4 linked regions of the Anolis sagrei genome follow. The protein of the gene in region 2 interacts with the protein of the main gene of each other region in a pairwise test. Links are inferred from orthologs where the notes say so. Each region holds a gene or a part of one and is shown on either strand. Other genes may lie near its edges.

Region 1 (8,150 bases), about 59 Mb from region 2:
TGCTGTGCTGATGAGACATAAAACTAAGACACATAAAAATACATCTGAGAGCTGTTCCATTCTTATAAAGATCAATAAACACTAGAACAGTGGTTCTCAACCTGTGGGTCCCCAGGTGTTTTGGCCTACAACTCCCAGAAATCCCAGCCAGTTTACCAGCTATTGGGATTTCTGGGAGTTGAAGGCCAAAACATCTGGGGACCCACAGGTTGAGAGCCACATGTTCTAGTCAATTATATTCCAACTGGCTTCAAGTCTCTAAGTTTGCAGGTAAACAATTAATCTGTTTTTTCTCCCAATCAATATTAGTCAATTAGCTGTAGAGGATGCTTTTTCTGTCAATTTATAATTTGACATCATTAGTCCATTAAAAACCAACGTAATCCCATTCCTTCAGTGGAATTCTGTTTCATAATTGCATATAATACAAACAGTGGGAGTGAGGCAAAATAATAAAAGAAGTAACAGGTAAGCTGGACCCAAACCATTTAGGGCAGTAGTTCTCAACCTGTGGGTCCCCAAGTGTTTTGGCCTACAACTCTCAGAGACCTCAGCCAATTTACCGGCTGTTGGGATTTCTGGGAGTTGAAGGCCAAAACATCTGGGGACACACAGGTTGAGAACCACTACACAAGAGGGAACTAGGGGAAATTTCTCAGCTTTTGTACCAACTTTCCACATATCGCTTAATCCCAGGAACAAAATCAAACAAAACAAAAACCCTAAAAGGGCTCCTCTACCACTAATTTTTCAACCATAAACCAAGATTTGGTCCTTTTGGGCTCACCTCAGTGGTGGGTTCTTATTCATGAACATTTCAATGGCTTTTTCATCCTCAGGATTCACAGTCATCTCCTCACAATACTCTCCCTTCTCCATGGCTGCAGCTTTCTCCAGTGATGGCCATTCCTCGTCATCTGTATCTGAACCTCCATCCTTTGAGTTGGAGCCTAGAAGAGGCAGGTGAAAATTAGCTCTACATGTTTAGCAAAACAAGCAATTGCCTTATTGCCCCTGATCTGAAGAATTCCTGGGGACGATGGCAGCTGTACCAACCTGGAGAATACCAGAGTGGGATCCTAAAGTATAGAATAGGTTCTTATTGTAATCAATGGGATAGTGGTCAAAAGGGTTTTTTTCCAGCTGCAAAGAAGAACTAGTTATGGACATGCATTGAAAATGCATTGTTATCCTTAGCTTCACTTACTTTGACTTTGACCACGCATGGGTAAACTTGGGCCCTTCAGGTGTTTTGGACTTCAACTCTCACAATTCCTAACAGCCTCAGGCCCCTTCCTTTTCCCCCTCGGCTGCTTAAGACACATGACCTTGGAGGCGTACGGTCTTCGGCTTAGAAATGGTGATGAGCATCATCTCCCAGAGTTGGGTACGACTAGACAATGTCAGGGGAAACCTTTACCTGTATAGTATTAGATCTAATTTTAATAGCAACTCCCATGCTACCAGAAACTACAGAAATTGCCATTTATCTATCCCATGACTTAACAGAGAGTCTACTGCAGGGGTCCTCAAACTTTTTAAACAGAGGGCCAGGTCAGAGTCCCTCAAACTATTAGAGGGCCGGATTATAATTTGAAAAAAAAAAAACACGAATGAATTCCTATACACTTAAAAACAATACAATAATTATAATGAAGAACAATTTTAGCAAATATAAACTTATTACTATTTCAATGGTAAGTGTGTGCCTGCTTTTAGCTGATGAGATAGGATTGTTGTTGTTGTTGTTGTGTGCTTTCAAGTCATTTCAGACTTAGGTAGACCCTGAGCAAGGGCCGGGTAAATTACCTTGGAGGGCCGCATCCGGCCCCCGGGCCTTAGTTTGAGGATCCCTGGTCTACTGTATATGGTTGAAACATCTTATGGCAATGCTATGAAAATACAGTTAATATCACCCTTAGTTCATTTACTTGGACAAAATATAGTAGACTCTGAGTTAACCACAACTCAAGCAGCCAGAACTCTCGGGTAACCGGGGGGGGGGGGGGGGATCAAAGAAATAATGTTGTTGAAGGCTTTCATGGCCAAAATCACCGGGGCCCCTTCCACATAGCTGAATAAAATCCCACATTATCTGGGATATATGGCAGCGTGGACTCAGATAAACCAGTTCAAAATAGATATTGTGGGATTTTCTTCCTTGATATTCTGGGTTATATGGCTGTGTGGAAGGGCCCTGGGTTGCTGTGAGTTTCGGGCTGTAATGGCCATGTTCCAGAAGCATTCTCTCCTCACATTTCGCCCACATCTATGGCAGGCATCCTGAGAGATTGTGACATTTGTTGGGAACTAGGCAAGTGGAGTTTACAGGCTTTGAAGCTGCAAGCCCATTCAATGTTAATCAAGGTGACCGATTACAACATTCACACTTGCCTCCATCAGACAAGAGTTATTTCTCCCACTCTGGACATTCCACAGATATATAAACCTCACTTGTCTAGCTTCTGGAACATGGCCAGACAGCCCGGAAAACTCACAACAATCCAGTTAAACAAAACTTTTGCTGTGTTTTGTAACATAACCAATTGGGAAATGACGTTTACAACCCAGAAACAAACATTGTGTTACACAGTGTGATAGAAAGGCAGAGTTAGGCCTATTTTTATTACTTGGCTGTACTGAAGGAGTTGGGGATGATGGCAGTTGTAGTCCATCGCATCTGGAGGATGGCGGGGTGTTTGGTTTGTTTAATCCCAGGATGGGCTTAATAATGTGATGTCACGTGCTTTTTGCCCACTCACCCAGGACGGTGGTCTTCCTCTTGGGCTCCTCTCTGCCGGAAAGGCCATGCTCGGCCTGCAGCTCCTCCTGCTGGATCCGCGCCTGCTCCAGGATCTTCCGGGAGAGCCGCTCGTCCACGTACTTCTCCTCCTCCTCCTCCTCCTCTTCTCCTCCCGCTCCCCCGCCATGCAGGCCGGCTTTGCCCCTCCGCTTCACCCGCCGACTGGGCTTCACCGCCTCGCCCTGCAGGATCTGCTCGGCCAGAGGCACGCTCACCCCGGCCGCCGAGGAGGCCCCTCGCACCCGCTTCTCTTTCGGCATGATCGCCCAGACACGTGGGGGAGAGGAAAGGCTAAGACGCATGCGCCGGAAAGAGAAGGCCAGAAAAGGGGCGGGGCTTGCGACCGCAGGGGCGGAATAGATATAGAGCAGAGCTTTCCCAACTTTTCACGCTTTTGAGACCAATCAGGCGTGGGCAAACTTGGGCCTTCCGGGTGTTTTGGACTTCAACTCACACAATTCCTAGCAGCCGGTAGGGCTCAAGTTTGCCCACATCTCTAATATTTTGCATATACATTTGGAAAATTGTATATGCAAAATATCAGACAGATGGAAAGCTATTTAACCTCAGCAGACTGAAAGCCAAAACCAAGGTGACAACATCTATTACAGAAGTCCAATATGCTGATGATAACATCGTCTGTGCACATTCAGAATTTCTACATGCCACTCTAAACACCTTCGCAGAAGTATATGAAAAGCTTGGCCTGTCATTGAACATCGAGAAAGCCAAAGTGCTCTTCCAGCAGTCACCAGCCAATCCCTCTCCAATGCCAGAAATATAGCTTAATGGTGTAACATTAGAAAATGTTGATAATTTCCACTACCTTGGCAGCCACCTCCCCACAAAAGTCCACATTGACACTTAAATACAACACCGCCTGAGCTCTGTGAGTGCATTTTTACGAATGAAGCACAGAGTGTTTGAGGACTGGGACATCTTGAAAGCATGGCTATTTCAGTGTGCCTTCCCTGAATAAAGGAAACAATGCCCTAATTTGATCAATTTTCTGCAATATGTCCTCTGAAGCACTACCCGTTGGATTTATTTCCCTACATTACTCTCTAACCGCCCCACCCCCCGTTTAGATACCCTACTTCTGTTCACACCCAGTATTTTAAAAATTTAATCTACTACATCCGGCCTTTCCCACAGTCTTTTAAATCTCTTGTGTGTTACTGCTTATATGTTATTTATGATATTGTACTGTGTTTTATTTGCTTGCTTGCCTTGTTTTCTACTGATGTATTTTGTTGGGCTTGGCCTCATGTAAGCCGCCCGAGTCACCTTGGGGAGATGGTGGCAGGGTATAAATAAAGTTATTATTATTATTATTATTATTATTATAAACTAGCTGTCCCCTGCCACGTGTTGCTGTAGCCCAGTCTGTGCATATGTGTTTTGTGTGTGTGTATATATGTGTTTATGTATGTGTATATATTTGTGTATATAAGTGTGTGTATATATGTGTATTTATATGTGTGCATGCATATTGTGTATATGTGTGTGCTTGTCTATATGCATATTTGTGTGTGTGTGTGTGTGTGTATATATATATATATATTATTTATTTTATTAATCAATTTTATATACTTCCACTCGCCGAAGTCTCGGAGCGGTTTACAATATACACAAGAAAAACTTTGATCAACAAAATTCAAATGCCACCCTAAATAAATAAGTTTTACAAGCTCTACGAAAAGCAAGTAAATCTCGGAGAGCTCCTGTTCCTGCTGGCAAAGCATTCCATAGATAAGGAGCCACCACCGTGAAAGTTCTACGCCTAGTAGACATCAGGTGAATGGTCCTAAAATTGGGAACTTCAAGGAGATTCTGATCGTCTGAACGAAATATTATGTGGATATGTATATGTGTGTGCATGTGTATATGTATATCTGTGTGTATCTGTGTGTATGTGTATGTATGTTTGTGTATATGTGTATATCTGTGTGTGTTTGTGCATATATATATGTGTGTGTGTATGAATGTGTGCATGTGTATATGTATATGAGTGTATGTGTATCTGGACACATTGACAAGCTGGAATGTGTCCAGAGGAGGGCGACTGGAGAACAAGCCCTATGAGGAGCGGCTTAATGAGCTGGGCATGTTTAGCCTGAAGAAGAGAAGGCTGAGAGGAGACATGATAGCCATGTATAAGTATGTGAGAGGAAGTCATAGGGAGGAGGGAGCAAGCTTGTTTTCTGCTTCCATGGAGACTAGGACGCAGAACAATGGCTTCAAACTACAAGAAAGGCGATTCCATCTGAACATGAGGAAGAACTTCCTGACTGTGAGAGCCATTCAGCAGTGGAACTCTCTGCCCCGGAGTGTGGTGGAGGCTCCTTCTTTGGAAGCTTTTAAACAGAGGCTGGATGGCCATCTGTCAGGGGTGATTTGAATGCAATATTCCTGCTTCTTGGCAGGGGGTTAGACTGGATGGCCCATGAGGTCTCTTCCAACTCTATGATTCTGTGTATATGTAAATATGGTATTTTTGGGGGGGTTTTAAGTCTGTTCGGCTGGGGTTTTGTGTGTGTTTGTGTGTGTGTTTACAGGTGATGGTCACACGTTGGACTGTTAGGTGTATTGTGTCTAAATTTGGTGTCAATTCGTCCAGTGGTTTTTGAGTTATGTTAATCCCACAAACGAACATTACATTTTTATTTATATAGATGAAATACAATTTTAAACCTAAATATACGTATATATAAAGTAGATCTTAGGAAGTTGTTTCTTGATTTAAAACGTCAATATGCTGGCTGATATCCGAACAGAGGATGGGCCGGAGGTGTCAATACTTTCCTCCCTACAGGAAAGCCTGGCTCCACTTTCTTTTGCTGGATGGGCAATGCAGGACCACCTGAGTTGGAGGTGGGCCTGCATTGCCTGCTCCGGCCGCCAGGGGGCCGCTTCCGAGAGGAGGCGGCGAGGACGACACTCGCCCGCATTCCCCGCGATGACGTCACTTCCTTTCGGCGTTCTTCCCTCCGAGGAGGCGAGGCTGTGTGAGGCTCCGCGAAGACCGCCGGGCAGAGGGCGCTGAGTGAGGCTGAGAAGTCTTGGGCCACCTTTCCGCCCGGGTTCACGCCTCCCCCGCGGAGGAGACAGCCGAGGAAACATGGGTGTCACCTGGTACGGCTTCCCAAGGCTGCTGTAGCCTTAGCCAAACATTTTACCTTGAGACCGTTGCATGTTTTTGCTTCTCAGTGTCGGCCAAGATGGAGGCCTGCTGCGATTGTGCTTGGATGTACATTCGTTTCAAGAATGAGGGGTCGGGTATGGAGTGTAACGTGTGAACGAGCGAATGACGAGTGTCAGGGGCAGGAGAGGGACCTGGTGACAGGTAGGGTTACTACAGGCATGGGCAAACTTCGCCCCTCCAGGTGTTTTGGACTACAACGCTCACAATTCCTAACAGCCGGTAGGCTGTTAGGAATTGTGGGTGTTGTAGTCCAAAACACCTGGAGGGCCGAAGTTTACCCATGCCTGAGTTACTAAATCTCCTCAATGTAATGCCAGGGGAGTATCTGCCCCTCATCCGAATTGCTTGGCGCCAGACAAGTTTGCGATTTCAGGTATTTTTGTGTGTGGGATTTTTTTTTTTTTGCATCGCCTAATTGCTAAGCCTAATCAAACCAGTCATTTATGTTTCACGTACACATAACATGTATATGAAACATAAATGTTGTGTTTAGGCTTGGCTCCCATCTTCAAGGTGTTAGTAAATAAGATATTGACACCACCTGCATGTAACACAGGTATGGAGAAACCCACGCCCGGGAGCCGAATGCGGCCTCTTGGACTCTTTTTGCAGGCCCTCCTCTCGCTCACCATCCTATCCTTCCTTCCTTCCCTCTTTCCTTCTGCCTTTCCCCCTTCCCTCCTACCCTTCCAGTCTTCTGTCTTTCTTCCCTCTTTCTCTCCCTCTTTCTCCTTCCTTCCTTCCCTTTTGTCACAGGGAGGAGGGAGCAAGCTTGTTTTCTGCTTCCCTGGAGACTAGGACGCGGAACAATGGCTTCAAACTACAAGAGAGGAGATTCCATCTGAACATTAGGAAGAACTTCCTGACTGTGAGAGCCGTTCAGCAGTGGAACTCTCTGCTCCGGAGTGTGGTGGAAGCTCCTTCTTTGGAAGCTTTTAAACAGAGGCTGGATGGCCATCTGTCAGGGGTGATTTGAATGCAATATTCCTGCTTCTTGGCAGGGGGTTTGACTGGATGGCCCATGAGGTCTCTTCCAACTATGATTCTATGATTCCTTCCCTCTTTCCTCCCTCCCCGCATTCCCTCCACCCTTCCTTCCATCCATCCTTCTCTTCTTCCCTTTTTACCTTCCTTCCTTTTCTTTTTCCTTCCTTCTTTCCTCCTGGGGCATGTTTACCTGGGGGAAGAGAAGGTAGAGAAGGAACATGAGAACCAATTTTCAAGATCTAAAAGGGTGTCCCATTGAAGAGGAGGGGGAAAACCAACTTTCTGCTGCTCTAGAGACCAGAACACAAGGAAGCAATGGGTTCAAATGGCAGGGGAAAAGATTAGGAAGAATTCCTGAAAGTAAGAGCTGTTGGAGAGTGGCCTAGGCTGCCTGGGAGTGTGGTAGAGTCTCCTCTGGAGACTTTTCCGCAGAGGCTGTCTGTCGGGAATGCTTTAATTGTGCCTTCTTGCTTGGCAGGGGGTTGGACTGGATGGCCCTTGAGGGTCCTTTCCAGCTCTAGGATTCTATATCAGGAGTATGCAGTATGGGGTCTAATAGATACACTTTTTCCTCTCGTATCCACCTCATCCTGACCAAGGCTAACCTTTTGGGATCCAAATGTTTCCCATCTTTCCTTTGCTTTCTGCCTCCGAAAGAGAAGAGGAAGGGGAGGAAAGGGCAGGGAGGGGACTTGGAGAGAATCCCCCTGCTCCTGGCCTGCCCACCCTGCTCCAGCCTGCCATGAGGCCCCCAAGTTAGAAAGTTTGCCCATGCCTGATGTAACATATTGAAGATGGGAGCCAAGCCTAAACACAGCATATATGTTTCATTTACACATTATACACGTAGCCTGAAGGCACCTTTATGCACAGTATTTTAAATAATTTGGTACATTGAACCATCAGAAAGCAAAGGTGTCAATATCTCAGACACATGTGGGAAATTTGGGATTTCTGGATAAAAGATACTCAACCTGTAGCATTAGATTGCCGTTAATGCAGTTTTAATACTCCCTTGGGTGGAAAGGGATCATGAGTGGAAAAAGTTAAACCCTGATCTAGAGCACCATTTGTTGGAAAGCTAGGAAATAAATGTAAGAGATAGATAAATTAGCTTTGGCTTTCATTTTTCTTTATTCACCAATGTGAAGTGAA
Region 2 (7,919 bases):
TCCAGAGTCGAGGGGCCACCACCGAGAAGGCCCTCTCTCTTGTCCCCACCAATCACGCTTGCGATGCAGGTGGGAGTGCAAGTAGATCTCCAGATGATCGAAGAGATCATGTGGGTTCATACACAGAAATGCGGTCACGTAGGTAGGCAGGTCTCAAACCATCCAGAGCTTTGTAAGTAAGAACCTGCACCTTGAATTGGGTCCAGAAAATGAATGGCAGCCAGTGGAGCTCCTTAAACAGGAGGGTTGACCGCTCCCTGTAAGGAGCGCCAGTTAACAATCTGGCTGCCACCCGTTGGACCAACTGAAATTTCTGAGCCGTTTTCAAGGGCAGCCCCACGTAGAGCGCATTACAGTAGTCCAATCTGGAGGTGCTATTCCAATGAGCTTCCAAGAACTTCCTTTTGATGTTCTTTTAGGCCCCTTCCACACAGCAGAATGAAATCTCACATTATTTGCTTTGAACTGGAATATATTTATTTATTTATTTACGGTATTTATAGCTCCCTTTTTTAGCCATACTGCGACTCAAGGTGGGTTACAGATTAGCACAATTCGATGTCAGGCATTCATAAAAGTGCAATTAAAAACAATCAACATTACAATATAAAACATAAATAAAAACTGTTAAAGCATATAATCATCGGTGTTGTCTTGGTAAAAACCTTCACATCGTCTGGCTGTTCCATGTTCATCATTCATAGTTCTGTGTTATCTATTCCGCTGCATTCTCAAAAGCTTGCTCAAAGAGCCAGGTCTTTACTTTTTTTGGAAAGCCAGGAGGGAGGAGGCCGATCTAATATCCCTGAGGAGGGAGTTCCGTACCCAGGGGGCCACCACTAAGAAGGCCCTGCCATTCGTTTCTGCCAATCGCACTTGTGTGGCAGGCGGAATCGAGAGCAGGGCCTCCCCAGACGATCTTAAGCTCCTAGATGGTTCGTAGGAGGAGATACATTCGGATGGGTAAGCTGGGCCAGAATTGTTTAGGGCTTTATGGGCTAAAGCCAGCACTTTGAATATATATGGCAGTGTGGGCTCAGATAACCCAATTCAAAGCAGATATTGTGAGATTTTCTGCCTTGATATTCTGGGTTTTATAGCTGGAAGGACCCAGAGTCCATTGTGATTCTTGCTCATTTTGAAGCTGTTCTTTTTTATGTACTATTTCGAGATTATCGACAAATGATTGTTGTATGCCACTTTGCATGCACTTCATATATAAAGATTTGGTATAAATTCAAACATCCTTGTTTGGATATGTGACAAGATCACAAGTACACAGATCAGAGAGGGACAATGTGCCAATTTGCATCGCCCAAAGGATGTCCTTTTGCCATTCTCTAGGTATTTCTCTGTTTTCCTCTTTAATCTCATTGGACTTCCCTTATCCTTGAACTGTTGCTATATTGAGGAATATATCTTCCATATGAAAGAAATTGCAGACCCAAGGAAAAAGGTATGAATCTGAAAACTGTGGCAAATTTTGATTAGAAGTCAGAAGCCAAGTCCTGGTGTCTTTCATGACAGTCCTTGCCACTAGGTGGCTGTCAAGAAGTAACTGAGAACAAGAAGGAGACTTTAAGGAGGCTGAAGATGCACCTTTAATAGGTTTTAACTGCCATGAATACTTTTTATGCAATCCTGGGATTTGTAATTTGGGGAAGCACGAGATTCTGGTAGAGAATTCTAAATACTGGTATTTGCTGGGGTTTGGTTCCAGGGCCTGCCATGGATCCTAAAAGCAATGGATGCTCAAGTCCCATATAATGCATAATCAAATGACATGTTGTTATATAAAATGGCAAAAGTAATGTGTTTTTGAGATGTGGGGTATTCTAAAGTCATGGAAGTTTAATCTGTGGGTCCAGAGTCCATGGACACAGAGAGCTGACCATATCTCAGTAAAGATTTTCCCCTGACATTAAGTCCAGTGTTGTCCAACTCTGAAGTGTTAGTGCTCATCTCCATTTCTAAGCTGAACAGCTGACATTGTCCATAGACACCGCCAAGCTCATGTGGCCAGCGTGACTGCATGGAGCGCTGTTACCTTCCCACCAGAGCAGTACCTATAGCTCTTCTCACATTTGCATGTTTGGGGCTTTATAGGTGAAAGCCAGCACTTTGAATTGTGCCTGGTAGCAAACTGGCAGCCAGTGGAGCTGGTGTAACTTGGGAGTTGTATGCTCCCTGTATGCCACCCCAGTTTCTCGTTGGACTATTTGAAGTTTCCGAGCAGTCTTCAAAGGCAACCCCACGTAGAGTGCATTGCAGTAGTCTATCCTGGATGTACCGAGAGCGTGGACCACCGTGGCAAAGTCTGACTTCCCATGGTACGGGCACAGCTGGCGCACAAGTTTTAATTGTGCAAATGCTCCCTTGGCCACCGGGGTTGCCTTTGAAGACTGCTCGGAAACTTCAAATAGTGCGAACGCTCCCTTGGCCACCGCTGCAACCTGGGATTCCAGGCTCAGTGATGAGCCCAGGAGGACCCCCAAGCTGCGAACCTGTGCCTTCAAGGGGAGTGTAACCCCATCCAGCACAGGTTGCGACCCTATACCCTGCTCTGAATAGCAATTGTGGGAATTGAAGTCCAAAACACCTGGAGGGACAAAGTTTGCCAATGTCTGGTCTATACTGTCATATAATCCAGTTTCAAATCTGATAATCTGGATTTTATCTGGCAGTGTAGAAGTGGACTAACTAAGAGATGCTTAGGTGGGGCATGGCCCAATATAAATAAACTAGCTGCCCCCTGCCACGCGTTGCTGTGGCCCAGTCTGTTGATCTGGAAAATAAAGTAATGAGAAAGTGTTAATTTCTAATATATGTATTTTCTTTATGCTTGTTGGGTAAACAGTATTTCTTGCTGTTTCTTTGTCAGTGTTGATGCGGAGAGTGTTTGGTTTGCCCACCCTTGAACATGCACCATATCATTGTCCTTCTTTAAGGGTCCCTTTCAAATCTATGATACTCTATCTGTGTGCGTGTGTGTGAATCATATCTATCTATCTATATCTATCTATGGCTGGATGGCTCTTTGTCAGGAGGACTTTGATTACGTTTTCTTGCCCTGATGAAGGGAGTTGGATTGGATGGCCTTAAGTATTTTCTGATGGTCATGGGGGTTCTGTGTGGTATGTTTGCCCCAATTCTGTTGTTCGTGGGGTTCAGATTGCTCTTTGATTGTAGGTGAACTGTGAATCCCAGTGACTACAACTCCCAAATGTCAAGGTCTATTTCCCCCAAACTCAATCTGTGTTCATATTTGGGCGAATTGAGTGCTTGTGCCAAGTTTGGTCCAGATCCATCATTGTTTGAGTCCACAGTGCTCTCTGGATGTAGGTAAACTACAGCTCCCAAACTCAAGGTCAATGTCCACCAAACCCTTACAATATTTTCTGTTGGTTGTGGGAGTTCTGTGTGCCAAGTTTGGTTCAATTCCATTGTTGATGGAGTTCAGAATGCTCTTTGATTGTAGGTGAACTATAAATCCAACAACTACAACTCCCAAATGACAAAATCATAATTTTTTTAATGATGGTCACTCCTTGTGTTGTGAGATATTTTGTTACCAAATTTGGTGTGATTTCGTTCATTGGTTCTTTTGTTTTTAACACACAGAGCATTTATATATATATATATATATATATATATATATATATACTAGCTGTCCCCTGCCACGCGTTGCTGTGGCCCAGTCTGGTGATCTGGAAAATAAAGTAATGGTTTCTTATCTATGTAATTTCTTTATGCTTGTGGGTAAACAGTATTTCTTGTTGTTTCTTTGTCAGTGTTGATATGGAGAGTGTCTGGTTTGCTTATTCTGGAACATGCAACATATAATTGTCCTTCTTTAAGGGTCCCTTTCAAATCTATGATACTCTATCTCTGTGTGTGAATCATATCTATCTATGGCTGGATGACTCTTTGTCAGGAGGACTTTGATTACGTTTTCTTGCCCTGATGAAGGGAGTTGGATTGGATGACCTTAAGTATTTTCTGATGGTCATGGGGGTTCTGTGTGGGAAGTTTGCCCCAATTCTGTCATTCGTGGGGTTCAGAATTCTCCCTGATTATAGGTGAACTAAAAATCCCAGTAACTACAAGTCCCAAATGTCAAGGTCTATTTCCCCCAAACTCCATCTGTATTTATATTTGGGCATATTGAGTATTTGTGCCAAGTTTGGTCCAGATCCATCATTGTTTGAGTCCACAGTGCTCTCCAGATGTAGGTGAACTACAACTCCCAAACTCAAGGTCAATGCCCACCAAACCCTTCTAGTGTTTTCTATTGGTCAGGGGAGTCCTGAGTGCCAAATTTGGTCCTATTCCATCACTGGTGGGGTTCAGAATGCTCTTTGATTATAGGTGAACTATAAATCCCAGCAACTACAACTCCCAAATGACAAAAGCAAATTTTTGAGTGAAGGACATACATTGGGTTGTTAGGTATCCTGTGTCCAAATTTGGTGTCAATTCATCCAGTGGTTTTTGAGTTATGTTAACCCCACAAACGAACATTACATTTTTATTTACATATAGATAGATAGATAGCTAGATAGCTAGATAGCTAGATAGCTAGATAGCTAGATAGATAGATAGATAGATAGAGATTGGGAACCACTAATACAGAGGCCTAGAATGCATTTGGGGCTGCATTCTGTGAGTGAGGCTGGCGGCCACCTCAGAGGTCACCCGGGCCTGTCTGGGGCGCCTCTCCTGCCTGGCGCTGGCCCCGCCCCTCCCGACCTCCCAAAGGCGCGGTGACGCCGCCAAGGATGCTGCTGGGCGGCGGCGGAGGAGAAGGAAGATGCAGGCGGCGAAGCGGAGGGAGACGGGGGCCCCCGGAGGACCATCGGCGCCCCCCGGAGAAGGCAAGCCTTCCCGGCGCATTGGGCGAGGGGCCCCCGGGCGCAGGCCCCCCGCACGGAGCGGTCCCCGAAGCAAGATCGCCCCTCCGGCCTCCCTTCCCAGCCCCGGACTCAGGAGCCTCAGGAGGTGAGAGGCTTGGGAGGGGAAGGAGAAGGGGGCGGGGGCCACCCTGGCCTGCTTGGGAAGGACTGACATCACCCTGCCTGAGACCATCGCCTTAGAATAACATCTCTATCCTCTGACTTGGATTCTGAGCCCATGCATTTCCCTCACTGTCATATTATCATCCAATTCCAGAATATAGCTTTACTGCATCCAACTGGATTATATCCATCGGATTCAATCTCAGGCCCCTTCCACACAGCTGAATGAAACCCCACATTATCTGCTTTGAATTGGGATATACGGTAGCATGGACTCAGCCCAGTTCAAAGCAGATATTGTGGGATTTTCTGCCTTGATATTCTAGGTTATATGGCCTAGGAAGGGCCCTCAAGGTGCTTTAAATCAGTCAACACTGCCCTACAATCCAGATCTATCCCCATTCTGAAACTGGATCATGGGGCAATGTCAGCCCCCATCCGTACTACAAAATAAAATCCGGATAATCTGTGTTGAACTGGATTATATGGTAATGTAGACTCCTATAATCCAGTTCAAAGCAGATCATGTTTTAGGGCCTTGGTACAGTCCGTGTTATAGGGCAATGTCAGTCCCCATCCGCACTGCAAAATAAAATCCAGGTTATCTGCTTTGAACTGGATTATAGGACAGTGTAGACTCTTATAATCCAGATCAAAGCAGATCATGTTTTAGGGCCTTAGTAAAATCTATTTTATGGGACAGTGTCATCCCCCATCCACACTGCAATATAAATTCCAGATTATCTGCTTTGAACTGGGTTATATGGCAATGTAGACTCTTATAATCCAATTCAAAGCAGATCATGTTTTAGGTCTTAGTAAAATCTATTTTATGGGGCAGTGTCATCCCCCATCCACACTGCAATATAAAATCCAGATTATCTGCTTTGAACTGGATTATATGGCAATGTAGACTCCTATAATCCAGTTCAAAGCAGATCATACTTTAGGATCTTAGTACAATCTGTTTTATAGGGCAATGTCATCCCCTATCCAGAGGCGGCCCTAGGTAATTTTCAACGGTAAGCAAACTGTATTTTGGCACACTCCCCCTCCCCCCCCCCCCCCCAAACCAATCACTGATATATATTTTCTGTTCGTCGTGGGAGTTCTGTGTGCCATATTTGCTTCAATTCCATCATTGGTGGAGTTCAGAATGCTCTTTGATTGTAGGTGAACTATACATCCCAGTAACTACAACTTGCATATGTCAAGGTCTATTTCCCCCCCAAGAGCGCCCCTGGGCAAAATCAACTATACTGCAAATGCTTACAATGGGTTGAGCAGCCCCTGCCTCTATCCGCACTGCAAAATAAAATCCAGATTATCTGCTTCAAACTGGATAATAGAGCAGTGTAGACTCCTATAATCCAGCTCAAAGCAGTGGACTCAAACAATGCACATATGGAGTATTCATGCCAAGTCTGGTCCAGATCCATCATTGTTTGAGTCCACAGTGCTGTCTGGATGTAGGTGAACTACAATTCCCAAACTCAAGGTCAATGCTTACCAAACTCTTCTAGTGTTTTCTGTTGGTCATGAGAGTCCTGTGTAACATGTTTGGTTCAATTCCATTATTGGTGGAGTTCAGAATGCTCTTTGATTGTAAGTAAACTATAAATCCCAGCAACTAGAACTCCCAAATGACAAAATCAATTTTTTTGAGTGATGGTCACTCCTTGGGTTAGTAGGTGTTTTGCGGCCAAATTTGACGGCAATTTGTCCAGTGGTTTTTGAGTTATGTTAATCCCACAAACGAACATTACATTTTTATTTATATACTAGCTGTCCCCTACCATGTGTTGCTGTGGCCCAGTCTGGTGATCTGGAAAATAAAGTAATGAGAAAGTGTTGGCTTCTAATATATGTAATGTCTTTCTGCTTGTCGGTAAACAGTATTTCTTGCTGTTTCTTTGCCAGTGTTGATGTGGAGAGTGTCTGGTTTGCCTACTCTGGAACAGGCAACATATCATTGTCCTTCTTTAGAGGCCCCTTTCAAATCTTTGATACTGCATCTGTCATATACATATATGTGTGTCTGTGAATGGCTGGATGGCTCTTTGTCAGGAGGGCTTTGATTGTGTTTTCTTGCCCTGGTGAAGGGAGTCCAATCCATGTTATGGGGCAATTTCTCCACCTGGGAAGTCAAGACCCCTGGGGGACACTGGGGGGAGGGGTCAGAAGGGTCACCAAAGACTACCAGAAAGCACATTATTTTGTGTTGGTCGTGAGGGTTCTGTTCCCCAATTCTGTCATTGGTGGGGTTCAGAATGCTCCTTGATTGTAGGAGAACTATAAATCCCAGTAACTACAACTCCCAAATGTCAAGGTCTATTTCCCTCAAAGAGAGAGAGAGAAAAGAGAGAGAGAGAAAGGGAGGGAGAAATCCATCCCTAGGAAAGGAAATTCACTCCTGAAAGAGTTATCACCAAGAAAGGTGTCTCCACTGAAGCCTGATCACCAATCCTTGTTTCTACCACAAGCCACATTTTTTCAAAATCCAATGATCACAGCGACAGAAACTTCTGAAAAGGGGCACAGACAGCAAAACAAACACCATTGGGGTGTTAACCCTTCTAATGCTGTCCAAAGCTGAAAGAGATATACGTATTTTGGACTGGAGTGACGCTTAGGAATGTACCTGTTCTGACAAATTCAACTTAAGAACAAACCTACAGAACCTGTCTTGTTTGTAGCTTGAGGACTGCCTATATTGCAAAGTAGCTTATAAAACTCTGTAGGGAATCCTGAAGAGGTCCAATCATATATATATATATGTGGTCTGTAATATTTATATTTATCCATCTGGTTTAAACCACTTGTATTTTGAGATGCAAGATTAAGGTCATTACAGATGCAGATATTCATGAAAGGACTAGCCGTCCCCTGCCACGCATTGCTGTG
Region 3 (7,646 bases), on a different chromosome or scaffold from region 2:
AGAGATTAAGAAGTGGAAGAAGGGAGTGGAAAGAAGGAAGGAGGGAAGAAAGGTAGGAAAGAATGAGAAGGGAGTGAGAGAAGGAAGGAAAGATTAAGAGAGGAGGAAGCAAGGAGTACGATAGGTGGAAGGAGGGAAGGAAGGAAGGAAGGAAGGAAGGAAGGAAGGAAGGAAGGAAGGAGAAGGGATTGAGAGAAGGAAGGAAGGAGAGAGATGAGAAGAAGGAAGATGGGAGGAAGAATGGTAGAAAAAACAAATTGGGAGAAGGAAGGAGGAAAGGGAAAGAGGAAGCAAAGGGAGGGGATGAAGGGAGGAAAGGAGGAAGGAAGAGAGAGGGATGCTGACCTGCCATCTCTCAGGAGCAAGGCTTCGTCTTCCGGGATATAGTTGGCCAAAAGGTCCGCAACTCTTCTTTTCTGGAGGAGAAGAAAAAGATTTTAAAAGGAAGGAAAACTTTAAGACAAACAGGCCACCCAAAGCACTCTGCACATGCTCAGTGGGTGCCTTGCCTTGCCTTTTTGCCTGCTGGAAGCACAGGGCACCTCTGAGCATGCACAGAGTGCACCCAGCCTGCAGAGTTTGGCCACTGCTACCCCAGTTATTTCCACAGTGCATCTATACCAGGCATGGGCAAACTTCGGCTCTCCCTCCAGGTGTTTTGGACTACAACTCCCACAATTCCTAGAAGCCAAATTTGGACACAAGACGCCTCTCAGGCCAACGAGTGGCCATCACTCCTAAAAACAATGAAAAACACAACAGAAGGGACTTAAAAGCCAAAAAACAACACAAAACCAAAACATTACAATGCACGCGCAAAACCACACATATATACACAAACACACCTATATACCTACACACACACACAACACATACACGGAAAGAAGGAAGGAAGGAAGGAAGGAGAGAAGGAGGGAGAGAAAGAAGGAAAGAAAGGCAGAGAAGGAAGAAGGGAGAGAAAGAGGGAGAGAAGAAGGAGGGAAGGAAAAAGAAGGATAGAGAAGGAAGGAGGGAGAGAAGAAGGAGGGAAAAAGAGAAGGAAGGAAAAAAAGAATGGAGAAGGAAGGAGAGAAGGAGGGAGAGAAAGAGGGAAGGAGAGAAGGAAGGAAAGAAAGAAAGGTAGAGAAGGAAGGAGAGAGAGAAGAAGGAGGGAAAAAGAGAAGGAAGGAAAAAAAGAATGGTGAAGGAAGGAGAGAAGGAGGGAGAGAAAGAGGGAAGGAGAGAAGGAAGGAAAGAATGAAGGGTAGAGAAGAAAGGTGGGAGAGAAAGAGGGAGAGAAGAAGGAGGGAAGGAAAGAAAAAAGAAGGATAGAAAAAGAAGGAGAGAAAGAGGGAAAGAAGGAGGGAAGGAGTGAAAGAAGGAAAGAAAGAAAAGTAGAGAAGGAAGGAGAGAGAGAAGGAGGAGGGAAAAATAGAAGGAAGGAGAGAAAGAGGGAAGGAGAGAAGGAAGGAAAGAAGGAAAGAAAGAAAGAAAGGTAGAGAAGGAAGGTGGGAGAGAAAGAGGGAGAGAAGAAGGAGGGAAGATTGAGAAGGAAAGAAAAAAGGATAGAGAAAGAAGGAAGGAGAGAAGGAGGGAAAGAAGGAGGGAAGGAGAGAAAGAAGGAAGGAAAGAAAGAAAAGTAGAGAAGGAAGGAGAGAGAGAAGAAGGAGGGGAAAAGAGAAGGAAGGGAAAAAATGGAGAAGGAAGGAGAGAAGGAGGGAGAGAAAGAGGGAAGGAGAGAAGGAAGGAAAGAAGGGTATATAGAAGGAAGGAAGAAAGGAGGGAAGGAAGGAAAGAGAAAGAATGAAATAAAAAAGGGAAAGAGGGAAAGAAGGAGAGAAGGAGCAAAAGAGAGAAAGAGAGAGGGAAGGAAGAAAGGAGACAAGGAAGGATGGAACCACAGAGCAAAGGAAGCGAGAAAAGAAACAGGTAGGGAAGAAAGAAAGAAGAAGGGAAAGAAAAAGAGGAAAGGAAGGAAAGAAGGAAGGAAGAAAGGAGAGAAAGAAGGAGGGAAGTTTGGCCACAGCAACGCGTGGCAGGTACAGCTAATAATATTATAAACATTATATGCATATACAATATATTATATTATAATGCAGTGTACATGCACTGTGGCCAAACTCTGCAGGCTGGGAGCACTCTGTACATGCTCAGAGGCACCCTGTGCTTTCCAGCAAGCAAAAAGGCAAGGCAAAATAGCGACTGAGCATGTGCAAAGTGCTTTGGGTGGCTTGTTTACATAGTCCTTGGCTCAGAGGTGCCCTGTGCTTTCCAGCAAACTAAAAGGCAAGGCAGCCACTGAGCATGTGCAGAGTGCTTTGGGTGGCTTACATAGGATCTGGATTTTGCAGGAAATGGCAACTATTCAACATGGGAAACAGCATGGACCCTTTCCAAAGGAATAATATGGCATTTTACCCCCAAATGGACCCCTCTTTTGCCCCCACTTCCTTTCCCACTCACCTTGAGGACGTTGAGTTGGCTGGGGTCGTCTCCTTCCCTCTTGAAGGACATCCTTTCCCCCTAAAATAAAAGAAAAAACACCCCAAATTATGCAAGGTTTCCCTTCTAAAGTTGCAAAAATCCCAGGACTACAACTCCCATTGTGCACTACAACTCCCAGCATGCATTAAAACCCCCAATTGCTTGCACCAAACAGGGCTCTGCTTCTGAGAGACTGCATCACCCCCAAACTATGCAATGCTTACCTTCTAGCGTTGCAAACATCCCAGGACTACAACTCCCATTGTGCACTACAACTCCCAGCATGCACTACAACTCTCTGTTGTTTGCACTACTCAGGGCACTGCATCTAAGAGACTGCACTGCTCCCAAATAATCTCTGCTTCCCTTCTAGCGTTGCAAACATCCCAGGACTACAACTCCCATTGTGCACTACAACTCCCAGCATGCACTAAAACCCCCAATTGTTTGCATCAATCAGGGCTCTGCTTCTAAGAAACTGCATCACCTCCAAACAATGCAATGTTTACCTTCTAGCGTTGCAAACATCCCAGGACTACAACTCCCAGTGTGCACTACAACTCCCAGCATGCACTACAACTCTCAGTTGCTTGCACCAATCAGGGCTTTGCTTCCAAGAGACTGCATTGCCCGAAATGCCTCTGGGCTCTTTCTTTCCCTTGTTTACTTCCTGGAGAGGGGAAAGAACTACATCTCCCATCATGCCTTGCTCAAAATGGAGCATGATGGGAAATGTAGTCCTTTCTCCCAAAATCACTTATATCTTTCCCCTAAATGCAAAATTTGCCTGGATTGGGTGCAAATTGCCTGGATTTGGGGGTTTCAAATTGGAAGGAAAGGAGAGAAAGGGTTTGATTTTATTTTCCTGGCTTCCAAAGTGTTTTGAGTGCAAAGACTACAAATCCCAGGATCCTTTGCGCGGGAGGGGAGGCGGGGCTTGGGAGTCGGTTGCAAGGCAGGCTTTGGGTCCAACAGCTTCTTGGCTGGGAGAATCTCTCTCTATTGATAAGTATCCTCTTTGGAGCCATTGATCCTTATTGATTGGCAGCAGGGGTGATGGGTGATTGACATCTGTCTGTGGCTGGAACCAAAACAGACATATTTCTGGGGAAATTATATCTATTTATATATAATTATATTCTATATATATATATAGAATTATATTGCATATATAATTATATATAATTATAATCAATATATATATATTATATAGATATATATAGATATCTACATAGGGTTGGGTGTCCAAGAGGAGACCATTGGTTGTGGTCTCCTCTTATGAGCCAGGAAATTGATTGGGATTGGAGATCAATAGATCTGAATTGGATTGGAAAAGGCTTGATCAAAGCTGGCGGGGAGGTTTGTGGATCCTGGGTAGATACCTAGAGAGATAGATCAAGGTTGGCAGGGCTTTGTTTACCTTTTGAGACGGGGACGATGGGCCTTTAGAAGGGCCACTCCACCATGGCAAGAAGTGGGGTCCAAACTTAGGGGTCTTGCTGGGTTTTAGGGTCTTGGAGAAGGCCTTTGGGGTCAAGCTTTTGGGGTCTTGGAGAAGGCCTTTGGGGTCAAGCTTTTGGGGTCTTGGAGAAGGCCTTTGGGGTCAAGCTTTTGAGATCTTGGAGAAGGTCTTTCGGATCAAGCTTCTAAGAACCTGGAAGGACCTTTGGGGTGAAGTTTTTGGTGTCTTGGAGAAGGCCTTTAGGGTCAAGCTTTTAGGGCCCTTTAGGGTGAAGCCTCTGGGTCCCTGGAAAGGTCTTTAGGGTCAACCTTCTAGGGACTTGGAAGGACCTTTGGGGTGAAGCTTCTAGGGACTTGGAAGGACCTTTAGGGTCAAGCTTTTGAGGTCTTGGAGAAGGTCTTTCAGATCAAGCTTCTAGGGACTTGGAAGGACCTTTGGGATCAAGCTTTTGGGGTCTTGGAGAAGGCCTTTAGGGTCAAGCTTTTAGGGTCTTGGAAGGACCTTTAGGGTCAAGCTTCTAGGGACTTGGAAGGACCTTTAGGGTCAAGCTTCTGGTGTCTTGGAGAAGGCCTTTGTGGTCAAGCTTTTGGGATCTTGGAAGGACCTTTGGGGTCTAGCTTTTGAGGTCTTGGAGAAGGCCTTTCGGATCAAGCTTCTGGGGACTTGGAAGGACCTTTTGGGGTCAAGCTTTTATGGCCCTTTAGGGTGAAGCTTCTGGGTCTCTGGAAAGGTCTTTGGGGTCAACCTTCTAGGGACTTGGAAGGACCTTTAGGATCAAGCTTTTGGGGTCTTGGAAAGGCCTTTAGGGTCAAGCTTCTAGGGACTTGGAAGGACCTTTGGGATCAAGCTTCTAGGGCCTTGGAAGGACCTTTGGGGTCAAGTTTTTGGGATCTTGGAAAGATCTTTGAAGTCAAGCTTTTGGGGTCTTGGAGAAGGCCTTTGGGGTCAAGCTTCTAGGGTCTTGGAAGGACCTTTCGGATCAAACTTCTAGGGTCTTGGAAGGACCTTTAGGATCAAGCTTTTAGGGCCTTCAAAAGACCTTTGGAGTCAAGTTTTAGGGCCCTTTAGGGTCACGCCCTGGAAAGGTCTTTAGGGATTTATTTATTTTGGGGGGAAAAGGGATGTCCTCTCCGTCGAAGCCCGCTTCCCCCGGAGGAGCCGGGTTGCTGCAAGGGAGCCGGACCCGATCCTATGGCAGCCTGGTCAAGACAGTCAGCTCGCCCGTGCGGGAAAGGCGGCTGGAGCATCGCCTCGAACCTGGGGATACCCTCCAAGGCCTGGCGGTCAAGTACGGGGTCACGGTGAGTCTTGGCACATCATTGCATGGATACATAGCATGAGTATCCATGGCGTGGCTTGACTACAGTCCATGTCAAAGAAGTTGTGTTGACCCCCTAACCATAACATTATTTTCGTTGAGAAGAGCAATCGCCGTGATCAAAGGTCTGAAAAACTAGAAGGAGTGACTTTGGGAGCTGGAGAAGCAAAAGTGAAAGTTGAGAGTCATGTTTACATATTTGAAAGGATTTCCCATTGAGGAGGGGGAAGGCTGTTCTGGACACTAGGACATAGATAGGGGACAGGGATGGATGGATGGATGGATAGACGACAGAGATAGATGATAGATAGATAGATAGATAGATAGATAGAGGACATGGATGGATGGATGGATAGATAGAGCAATAGATAGAGGACAGGAATGGATGAATGGATAGATGGATGGAGAGATAGATAGATAGATAGATAGATAGATAGATAGATAGATAGATAGACAACAGAGATAGATAGATAGATAAATAGATGGATGGATGGATAGAGGACATGGATGGATGGATGGATGGATAGAGAAATAGATAGAGGACAGGAAAGGATGAATGGATAGATAGATGGATGGATGGATAGATAGATAGACGACAGAGATAGATAGATAGATAGATAGATAGATAGATAGAGGACATAGATGGATGGATAGATGGATAGAGAAATAGATAGAGGACAGGGAAGGATGAATTGATAGATGGATTGATAGATAGATAGATAGATAGATAGATAGATAGATAGATAGATAGATGTGATGGATGGATGGATGGATGGATGGATGGATGGATGATGGATGGATGGAGAAATAGATAGAGGACAGGGATGGATGAATGGATAGATGGTTGGATGGATGGATGGATGGATAGATAGATAGATAGATAGATAGATAGAGGACATGGATGGATGGATGGATGGATGGATGGATGGATGGATGGTTGGAGAAATAGACGACAGGGATGGATGAATGGATGGATAGATAGATAGATAGATAGATAGAGGTGATGGATGGATGGATGGATGGATGGATGGATGGATGGATGGAGAAATAGATAGAGGACAGGGATGGATGAATGGATAGATGGTTGGTTGGATGGATGGATGGATAGATAGACAACAGAGATAGATAGATAGATAGACAGATAGATTGACAAATAGATAGATAGATAGATAGATAGATAGATAGAGAGAGTGAGAGAGAGAGGACATGGATGGATGAATTGATGGATGGATGGATGGATGGATAGACAGACAGATAGACGACAGAGATAGATAGATAGATAGATAGATAGATAGATAGATAGATAGATAGATAGATAGAGGAGCATTGAGCTATCGTTTCGCTTAACCGCCTTTCTGATCCGATTCCAGACCGAGCAGATCAAGCGGGCCAACCGTCTCTACACCAACGACTCCATTTTCCTGAAAAAGACTCTCTTCATCCCAGTGCCGATGGAGCCGAAGTCCTTGTCGAACGGGTTGAACCTTGACGAGGACGAAGAGGAGAAGGAGGAGGGAGAGCAGGCCACAACCGCAAAAGCGGGAGATGAGCTGGGACCTGGAGTCCCCGAAACCCCCAAGAAGCAGAAGCACCCTCGGAAGAACGGGTCCTCGAGCGGCGTCCCCAAACATGACCTCTCAGCCTCGGACTTCCTCTTCAAACTGGACTCTGAGATCCGCCGCTCGAAGCAGGCCGCCACCAAGAAGCTGCGGGACGGGGAGAGCCTGTGAGTGCCTTTTCGTCTCACTTGTAATTTGAAAACGATGGCTTTTACATGATGCAACCCAGATTTAGGTGGCTCGGTGTAAGCGAGCCAAGTTGCGAAAGGGGATGAGGATCAATAATAATAATAATAGTAATAATATATGCTTTATTATTATTATTTTATTTATTATTAATAAAATTAATAATGTGTGACAAGTTTGGTTCAATTCCACTGTTGGTGGAGTTCAGAATGCTCTTTGATTGTAGGCGAACTATAAATCCCAGCAACTACAACTCCCAAATGTCAAGGCTATTTTCCCCAAACTCCACATTTGGGCATATTGAGTATTCGTGCAAAGTTTGGTCATTGTTTGAGCCCACAGTGCTCTCTGGATGTAAGTGAACTACAAATTCCAAACTCAAGGTCAATGCCCACCAAATCCTTCCAGTATTTTTGGTTGGTCACGGGAGTTCTGTGTGCCAAGTTTGGTTCAATTCCATCGTTGGTGGAGTTCAGAATGCCCTTTGATTGTAGGCGAACTATAAATCCCAGCGACTACAACTCCCAAATATCAAGGTCTATTTTCCCCAAACTCCACCAGTGTTCACATTTGGGCATATTGAGTATTTGTGCCAAGTTTGGTCCAGATTCATCATTTTTTGAGCCCACAGTACTCTCTGGATGTAGGTGAACTACAA
Region 4 (7,818 bases), about 84 Mb from region 2:
ATTCCTTACACTGAGTTAATAAGTATGCAACTAAAAGTGAAGAATAAATATTTTTGAAGCTCAAATTTTGGAATTACTTAAACTCCTCCTTTTCCTTCAAAGACATCTTGACATGCCTTGAATTCACTTTTGAGCAGGTAAAAGAGTTCAAATGTGGTTTCCTCACAACCTGCAAAGTCTCCAGAGGTATCAATTATGAAATAGAATACATTAATAAAGAATAGGGACTGAAATTAAGAAGGCTTCATAAACAAAGGAGACTAGATTTAGAACTGCACAGGAAAAAGAAAAGATGCAAACTGCATCAAATTAAAATCTATGAACATATGATTAAACAATTCTAAAACTAAAGAACATCTAAATCATAACACAAATGTGCCTGTGCAGATCGCCAGTGTCCCACAAAACAACAAGGAGCCTTAAGTTGAATCTACACTGTCAAATGAATAGTTTGGCACCACTTTAACTGCCATGTCTTAAATGCTATGTAATCCTAAAAGTTGTAGTTTTACAGGGTGTTTAATCTGTGAAAGACTGTTGGTACCTCACTAAACTACAACTCCTATGATTCCCTAGCATCAGGCCCGTAGCCAGGATTTTGATTCGGGGGGGGGGGGGGGTTCTGGGTGAAAGAGGGTCTACCCTAGCAAACCTTTTGTATTGTTACTCCAATACCCCCATACATCTGGGATATATTTATTTATTTATTTATTTATTTACTTTGCTTATATACCGCTATATCTCAAGCCCGAAGGCGACTCACGGCGGTTCACAAACAGTAAAAACAGTAGAAACAGCAGTGGTTCCATACAACATATAACAATTGACTTAACACATTATCCATAAATTACCAATAAGCAATTACAATGCACAATTATTACAAAAAACAACCGTACCCAATCTTCTCATCATCCAAGCGTAGTCCAGGTTCGTCGTCCATTGTTCCATTCCTATGTTCCAATTACCAGATTGCACTAAATTACTCAAATGCCTGCACAAACATCCAGGTCTTCACCTTTTTGCGGAATACCATTAGAGATGGTGCTAGTCTAATGTCCGTAGGAAGGGCGTTCCACAGCCGAGGAGCCACCACCGAGAAGGCCCTATCTCTCGTCCCCGCCAGCCGAGCTTGAGAAGCAGGCGGGATCGAGAGCAGGGTCTCCCCGGAAGATCTCAAACTCCTCGTGGGTTCATAGGCAGAGATGCGGTCAGATAGGTAGCTAGGGCCGGAACCGTTTAGGGCTTTAAAGGCCAACGCCAGCACTTTGAATTCAGCCCGGTAGCAGATCGGTAGCCAGTGGAGTTGGCGCAACTGGGGGGTTGTATGCTCCCTGCGCTCCGCTCCTGTTAAAATCATGGCTGCCGAGCGTTGGACTAGTTGAGAATATTGAGAATGATGATCAGATCATGATATTAATAAACATAACAGTTTAAATAATGTACCAGTAAGGCCTTCTCGCGGACCACCATGAGAATTTCGGGGGGGGGGGGGCTGAAGCCCCCATAGCCCCCCCCCCCCGGCTACATGCCTGCCTAGCATAGAGCCATGGGCGCTAAAGTGGTGTCAAACTGCATTGTTAATTCACTGTCAGGCCCCGTCTAGAAGCCTTTGATGAAGATACTTAGCTGTAATGACAGGAAGGTAAACTTTTATTGAGCTGTCCTACGTTTATCATCTTTCTATTGAGTTACCTGTAATAACTGTATTGGATAAATGTTTTTAAATATGTTTACTTATCTTTATTGTAAATTGTTTTTAGAAGTTTTGTTTTACGTATGTATATTGTTTCGTATTGCTTTAACATAATGTTGTGAGCCACTTTGGATCCTGTTTAAGGATTAAAGTGGGATACAAATAATTAATTATTATTATTGATACAAAAACACAGTATGTCACAACCAACGAGAGATATATGCTGGAAGTCGTATCACAAAATCACAAGTCAAACACTTTCCAAGCGCCTAGGACTGTGTGATGTGTTTTCAAATGATGCGTGTAGATCCAAGTAAGGTGGCCTTTTGCAGCTGACAGATCGTCATTTTGTCAATGTTTATTGTTTCCAAATGCCAGCTGAGATCTTTTGGCACGGCACCCAGTGTGCCGATCACCACTGGGACCACCTGTACTGGTCTATGCCAGAGCCTTTGCAGTTCGATTTTGAGGTCCTGATAATGGCTGAGTTTTTCTTGTTGTTTCTCCTCAATGCGACTGTCACCTGGTGTGGCAACATCAATAATCCAAACTTTTTTCTTTTCCACAGTCATGATGTCTGGCATATTGTGTTCCAAAACTTTGTCAGTTTGGATTCAGAAGTCCCTCAGTATTTTTGCGTGCTCATTTTCCACGACCTTTGCAGGTTTATGATCCCACCAATTATTTATTTATTTATTTTATTATTTGAACGTATATGCCGCCACTCCCCTGGGGCTCGGAGCGGCTTACAAGAACAGGCTAAAATTGAACACAATTTAAAAACAATTTAAAACAATTTAAAAACAGCAATCAAAGATCAAAGGCCCGTCGAAACAGATATGTCTTACATGCCCTGCGGAAAGCTGATAAGTCCCGCAAGGCACGGACTTCAGTTGGCAGAGTATTCCAATGTGATGGTGTCACTGCAGTAAAGGCTCTGCGTCTGGTTGCTGTTAGACGCAAGGTCTTGACACTGGGAATTTCCAAGAAATCTTTACTACTGGCAGGTGGTACTTGTGACATAAGTTCCAATCATCATCATCATCATCGACAATATAGTGGTTTCATAAAACAGTTTAATTGCATTGAACAGCATTATATGAGTCTACACTACCATATAATGCAGTTCAGTGCAATTAAACTCTACTATCTGGTCAGTGTAGATGGGGCCTCTGAATCATTCTATAATTCAATAACAGACATGCCATGATGCGATTGTGAAATAATGTGCCTCATATCTGAAAAAAAAACTGTGAAGATTTAATTTTTCTTAAACAGGGCTGCGTTGTGCAAATCAATTTGAATCAACTGTGGGGTTTGCTGAAAATCTGCAACACCAAGAAATCAGCTGCTTAGACACCAGAACTCAACTGTTTTTCACAGTAAACAAAATATGAGGAACACAGCTGTTTGTCATGAGACAAGTTGGGAGAAGTGAATACAAACACATTATAGTATTTTCCTCTTCAGCAAACTTTCAGAGGTAAATGTTCTTCAAAATATTATAAAATGTGATCAAAGAACCACATTGCTTTGAAGTTCCCTCTCATATAAATGTACCTTGATGGAAAAAAAAGAGTAACCCAATTTAATATATGGAACTAGTTCATACATTCCTGTAGCAGAAATCAAGTGACAACCTGCATATATGAAAAAGCCATCGCTGAACAGTTATTATGCACACTCAAGATTTTACAATTTTTAAAAAATCTGTTTTTAACTGGTTAATGAGGGGTGAATAGTGAAGTGCCGAGATTTGCTGATAATGCAAAATCATTAGCTGTTAAAACAAAACTAGATTGCAGGTTACTTTTTCAAACTGGGGAAACAAGGAGTAAAATGACTCACTGGGGCAAAAAAAACCCCAAACAAAACAAAACCAAAACAAAACAATTCAGGAAATGTGATGACTACCTCAACAAAAAATGTTGATCAGAGATACTGTGATGGTCAATACAGGCCCTCTAGGTGTTTTGGACTTCAACTCCCAGAATTCCTAACAGCCCCTTTCCCCCATCAGCCACTTAAGTGAAAAGGAAAGGGCCTGAAGCTGTTAGGAATTCTGGGAGTTGAAGTCCAAAACACCTGGAGGGCCCAAGTTTGCCCATGCCTGGTCAATACCATGTTGAAACTCATTAGAAAAGTGATGGGAAATCTCAGAGTTGTAGTTTGGCGAGGTACCACCACTCTTTGGCAGAGGAGGCTCAAGGCCTTGTAAAACTACAACTCATGTGATTCCATAGCATCAAGTCATGGCAGTTAAAGTGCCATCAAACTGCATTATTTCTACAGTGTAGATGTGCCCTAATGAGAAAGGCTCCCTGGTTTCAGTTCAGCACATGGCCCTCTCCATGTTGTTTTTTTTCCCTGGGGTGGAACACCCATCACCTTTGCTGAGTTGTTGGGAACTGGGCGAAACTATGATAGCTGGAACCCAATGCTGAGACAGCGCAGCAAGTGAGAGATGCAGGTGTGACAGAGTCGTGGCAAGATAGCTTGCCAGAAAGGGGGGAGGGCAGAAACGGGGGCAGAAAGGGGGGGAACGGACAGCCGAGCATAGTGCTTAAGGCTATCCGGATATCATATGCAAACACATTCAAATATGTTATATCTTCGCTTCTCTAATTCTGACCCGTGACATGCAACCAGCATTGGATCCCAGATATCATACTTTTCGTGAACCACCATGAGAATTTCGGGGGGGGGGGGGGGGGCTGAAGCCCCTCAAGCCCCCCCCCCCCCGCTACATGTCTGCCTCAAGAAAAAGACAAGGTGATTTGGTATGCCCATACCACCAAGTGGTATCATCAAAGTGGTATCATCTGCATATCTAAGGTTGTTAATGTTTCTTGCAGCATTTTTTACCCCAGCTTGCCCATACCTGATCAATAGTACAGAGGCCCTTGTGGTCTCTTCCAACTTAAGGATTATATGAACAGAAGTTTCCCAGCCCTTCTCAGAAAGAGAGTGGAGGCGGCTCCCACCAGCCAGCCTTGACTCCTCCCGCGCTTTCCCTTCTGTCCCTTCACCCACGGTCACGAGCCTTCCCGGGGGCAGGCGTCTGCGCATGCGCGGAGGTCTCTCCCTCCCTATCTCCCTCCCTCCCTGGCAGTTCCTCCTGGAAGCACCTCCGCCTTCGAGTCGTCGCCTAACGGGCTGAGGAGAGGAGTCGTCGCCAAGGCCGCTCGGTGAGAACGACTTGAAGCAAAAACCGTGTTTGTGTGAGAGGGAGAGAGGGAGGGAGGCCGGGGCCTGGGGTGGATCAAGGGCCGTGGGGTTGGGGTGGGAGAGGCGCCTTCTTTCTCCCTCAGAAAAGGAGGCCTAGTTCCTCGGACCCTCCTCAAATAGAAGCGACGCCTCCGTAGCCCGCACATTTGTGATTTTGTGGGGATTGTTTGTCACCTGAGGAAGAAAAGTGTGTGTGTTTGTGTGTGGGCACCCCTTGATTTGTATGGCTGCTGTTGCTCCTTGTCTCGGTCTGAGGCGAGACGTGTCTGAAGAGAAGGGGAGGGTCGTCTGAGTCTGGGAGAGAAAGGGAGAGCGCCTGAAGCCCCCTCCCCAACACACACACACACACAAGACGTTTGGCAGCGAGAGGGGTTTACTCACCTCCCCCGCCCTCTTCCTACTCCATCCTCTCCCTCCCCTCCTCTTCTTTCTCCTCTTGCTGCTCCTCGTACTCCCCCTTCTCTCTAATATTCATCTGTTCTTCTCCACCTCTTCTTCTTTCTCCTCTCTCTCTCCTCTTCTTTCTTCTCTTCCTCCTCGTACTCCTCTCTTTCTTAATTTTCATCTTTTCTTCACCTCTGCTTCTTTCTCCTTCTCTCTCTCTCTCGTCTTCTTTTTTCTCTTCCTCCTCCTACTCCCTCTCTTTTCTAATTTTCATCTGTCCTCCTGCTTCTCCCCCTCCTCTTTCTCCTTCCCTTCCTCCTGTACTACTCCTCTCCAATTTTCATCTGCCCTCCTCCTTCTCTGCCTCTTTCTCCTCTTCCTTTTCCTTCCCTCTTTCTCTTCTTCCCCCTTCTCTTCTTTCTCATTCTTTCTCCTTCTCTCCCTCCTTTCTCCTCCTCTTGCTCCTTGTACTCTCCCTCTCTAATTTTCATCTGTCCTCCTTCTTCTCCCTCTCCTCTTTCTCCTTCTCTTTCTCCTCCTTCCCCTCTTCTTTCTCTTCCTGCCCCTCCTTGTACTCCCCTTCTCTAATTTTCACATGTCCTCCTTCTTCTCCCCCTTCTCTTTCTCCTCCTCCTCCTGTTCTTTCTCTTCCTCTGCCCCTTCCTCCTCCTTTCTCCTTCTCTTCCTCGTACTCCCCCTCTCTAATTTTCATCTGTTCTCGTTCTTCTCCACCTCCTCTTTCTCCTTCTCTTTCTCCTCCTTCCCCACTTCTTTCTCTTCCTCTCCCCCTTCCTCCATTTCTTCTTCCTCCTCATATCCCCATCCTAATTTTCTCCCCTCCTCTTTCTCCTCCTTCACCTCTTCTTTCTCTTACTTTCTCCTTCTCCCTTCCTCCCTTTCTCTCTCATTTTGTTCCTCCTCGTACTCCTCTTCCTTTCTCACTTTCATCTGTCCTCCTTTCTTTCCAGCCTCTTTCTCCTTCTCTTCTTCCTCCTCTTCCTCCCCATTCTCTCTCAAATTTTCATAAGTTTTCCTCTTTTTCCCTTCTCCTGCTCTTCCACCCTTCTTTTCTTCCCCCCCCCCTCTTCCTCTCTCTCTTCCTCTGCTTTCTCATTCCCCTTCTTCACTCCCTCCTTTCTCCTTCTCCCCCCTCCTCCTCCTACTTGGGACAGAGGCCCAGATTGAGCAGGGAGGGAAGGAGGAGAGGCAAGCAAAAGCTTTGCCAGTTCCCTTTTTCCTTGAAATAGGTTCTTGGTTGGTGGGGGAGAGAAGCACTGAGAGGCTTTGATTCCTCAGAGGAGTCACAAATGGAGGAGGAGGAGGCATCCATTTTCAGTTTTGTTACAGGATGTTTGCTGAAAGGTGGGAGAAGGAAGTTGTTGGTTTTTCTGCGTGACGTGATGTCTTTTCCATTGCTGCGGGTGTGTGTACTTTAGATGTTACTAGGAGTTGCCTGTTTTGGTTTTTAAAACCACAAACCAAGAGAGATAAAATTGGGGTGTATTGGTTGCTGCCTTGATTCCAACTATGTCTTAATATATACATTCTCTGTCATCTCTGTGTGTACATGTGACCATATGGTGGTTGCTAGCTATCCTAGAATTGACTTTACTTTTGGCAACCCTGTGCATGGGACAATCCCGCCTTCAATCTATATTAAGTGGTCAGTTGAGACATTCCCTCAAGTCAACAGACCTGTTCAGGTCTCACATGGTCCATCCTAACTTTTGTATTTAATAATATTAGATGACTACTGAGGGTAAATTCAGTAAGTTCTATGTTTTTGTTTGCAATAAAGTCTACTGGGTTCTGTAAGGCTGAATGGCTAGTAAAGGTGTTCAGTACTACATCCATGTTTTCAATTTCAGTGTAAAATCTGGATGAGAAAATATAGTGATATTGTATTATTTTGTGTTCTGTTTTACAATAGATTACAGTATTTTGTTTCTGAAGAGCCATCTAATTCCCCATCAGAGTTTCCAAAACATGTGAGTCACTAGTATTACCAGAATTTGTTGAGATAATTGTTTGACAAACTGTTTTAGCTCGAAATCCCCCTTCCCGGTTTTGGGAAGTTGATGCTGTTTCATACATAGTTTTACATACCTTTATTATTTTCTCTTGCTATTTTCTAAGCTAAAATATTACGTTGACTTATAGTGAGGCTTCCTCAGGTCACTAGCTATTGGCTGGCTATTTTCTATGTTTTCATCTGCTCTGCAATACACAGAGGAGTTTCAGTTTGTGTTAAAGTTGGTCTCCTAGACTTTTATTGTAACTGACGTAAGGAACTGGGTAACAACAAAGATGGCCATTTCAGTTATCTCACCACAAGTGACTGTTGATACTGTTACCCACTAGCAAAGTGTACTTTTTCCTATTGTAACCCTTTCATTCAGTGATAACAAGACTGCAGTTACTTTTCCCATTCCTCCAGCTTAGGAAGGTAACACTGTCCAGTCGCTTTATGGCAAAGCTGCATCTCAGCTCAACTCACCTTTCTCACACACTCA

Evidence for each region.
Region 1: the proteins of PDE4DIP (region 2) and bystin interact in binary tests that used the Homo sapiens proteins (3 or more experiments, as listed by UniProt). The two-hybrid records come from large-scale screens. The link is inferred for Anolis sagrei from reciprocal best matches to the Homo sapiens genes PDE4DIP and BYSL.
Region 3: the proteins of PDE4DIP (region 2) and SCNM1 interact in binary tests that used the Homo sapiens proteins (3 or more experiments, as listed by UniProt). The two-hybrid records come from large-scale screens. The link is inferred for Anolis sagrei from reciprocal best matches to the Homo sapiens genes PDE4DIP and SCNM1.
Region 4: the proteins of PDE4DIP (region 2) and SDCBP interact in binary tests that used the Homo sapiens proteins (3 or more experiments, as listed by UniProt). The two-hybrid records come from large-scale screens. The link is inferred for Anolis sagrei from reciprocal best matches to the Homo sapiens genes PDE4DIP and SDCBP.

What each region holds. Positions count from the first base shown.
Region 1 is NC_090024.1:191,064,080-191,072,229, reverse strand, and holds the start of bystin, read right to left. Parts: upstream 3,114-8,150; 5' UTR 3,106-3,113; coding exon 2,763-3,105; intron 951-2,762; coding exon 788-950; intron 1-787. Other genes in the region: MED20 (mediator of RNA polymerase II transcription subunit 20), read left to right, coding at 5,925-5,938. UniProt on the Homo sapiens protein: Required for processing of 20S pre-rRNA precursor and biogenesis of 40S ribosomal subunits. May be required for trophinin-dependent regulation of cell adhesion during implantation of human embryos.
Region 2 is NC_090024.1:132,332,225-132,340,143, forward strand, and holds the start of PDE4DIP (myomegalin), read left to right. Parts: upstream 1-4,760; 5' UTR 4,761-4,810; coding exon 4,811-4,998; intron 4,999-7,919. UniProt on the Homo sapiens protein: Functions as an anchor sequestering components of the cAMP-dependent pathway to Golgi and/or centrosomes.
Region 3 is NC_090032.1:6,618,994-6,626,639, forward strand, and holds the start of SCNM1 (sodium channel modifier 1), read right to left. Parts: upstream 3,119-7,646; 5' UTR 2,688-3,118; intron 2,503-2,687; 5' UTR 2,494-2,502; coding exon 2,443-2,493; intron 417-2,442; coding exon 346-416; intron 1-345. Other genes in the region: LYSMD1 (lysM and putative peptidoglycan-binding domain-containing protein 1), read left to right, coding at 5,047-5,226, 6,614-6,969. UniProt on the Homo sapiens protein: As a component of the minor spliceosome, involved in the splicing of U12-type introns in pre-mRNAs. Plays a role in the regulation of primary cilia length and Hedgehog signaling.
Region 4 is NC_090024.1:48,695,399-48,703,216, reverse strand, and holds the start of SDCBP (syntenin-1), read left to right. Parts: upstream 1-4,770; 5' UTR 4,771-4,881; intron 4,882-7,235; 5' UTR 7,236-7,293; intron 7,294-7,818. UniProt on the Homo sapiens protein: Multifunctional adapter protein involved in diverse array of functions including trafficking of transmembrane proteins, neuro and immunomodulation, exosome biogenesis, and tumorigenesis.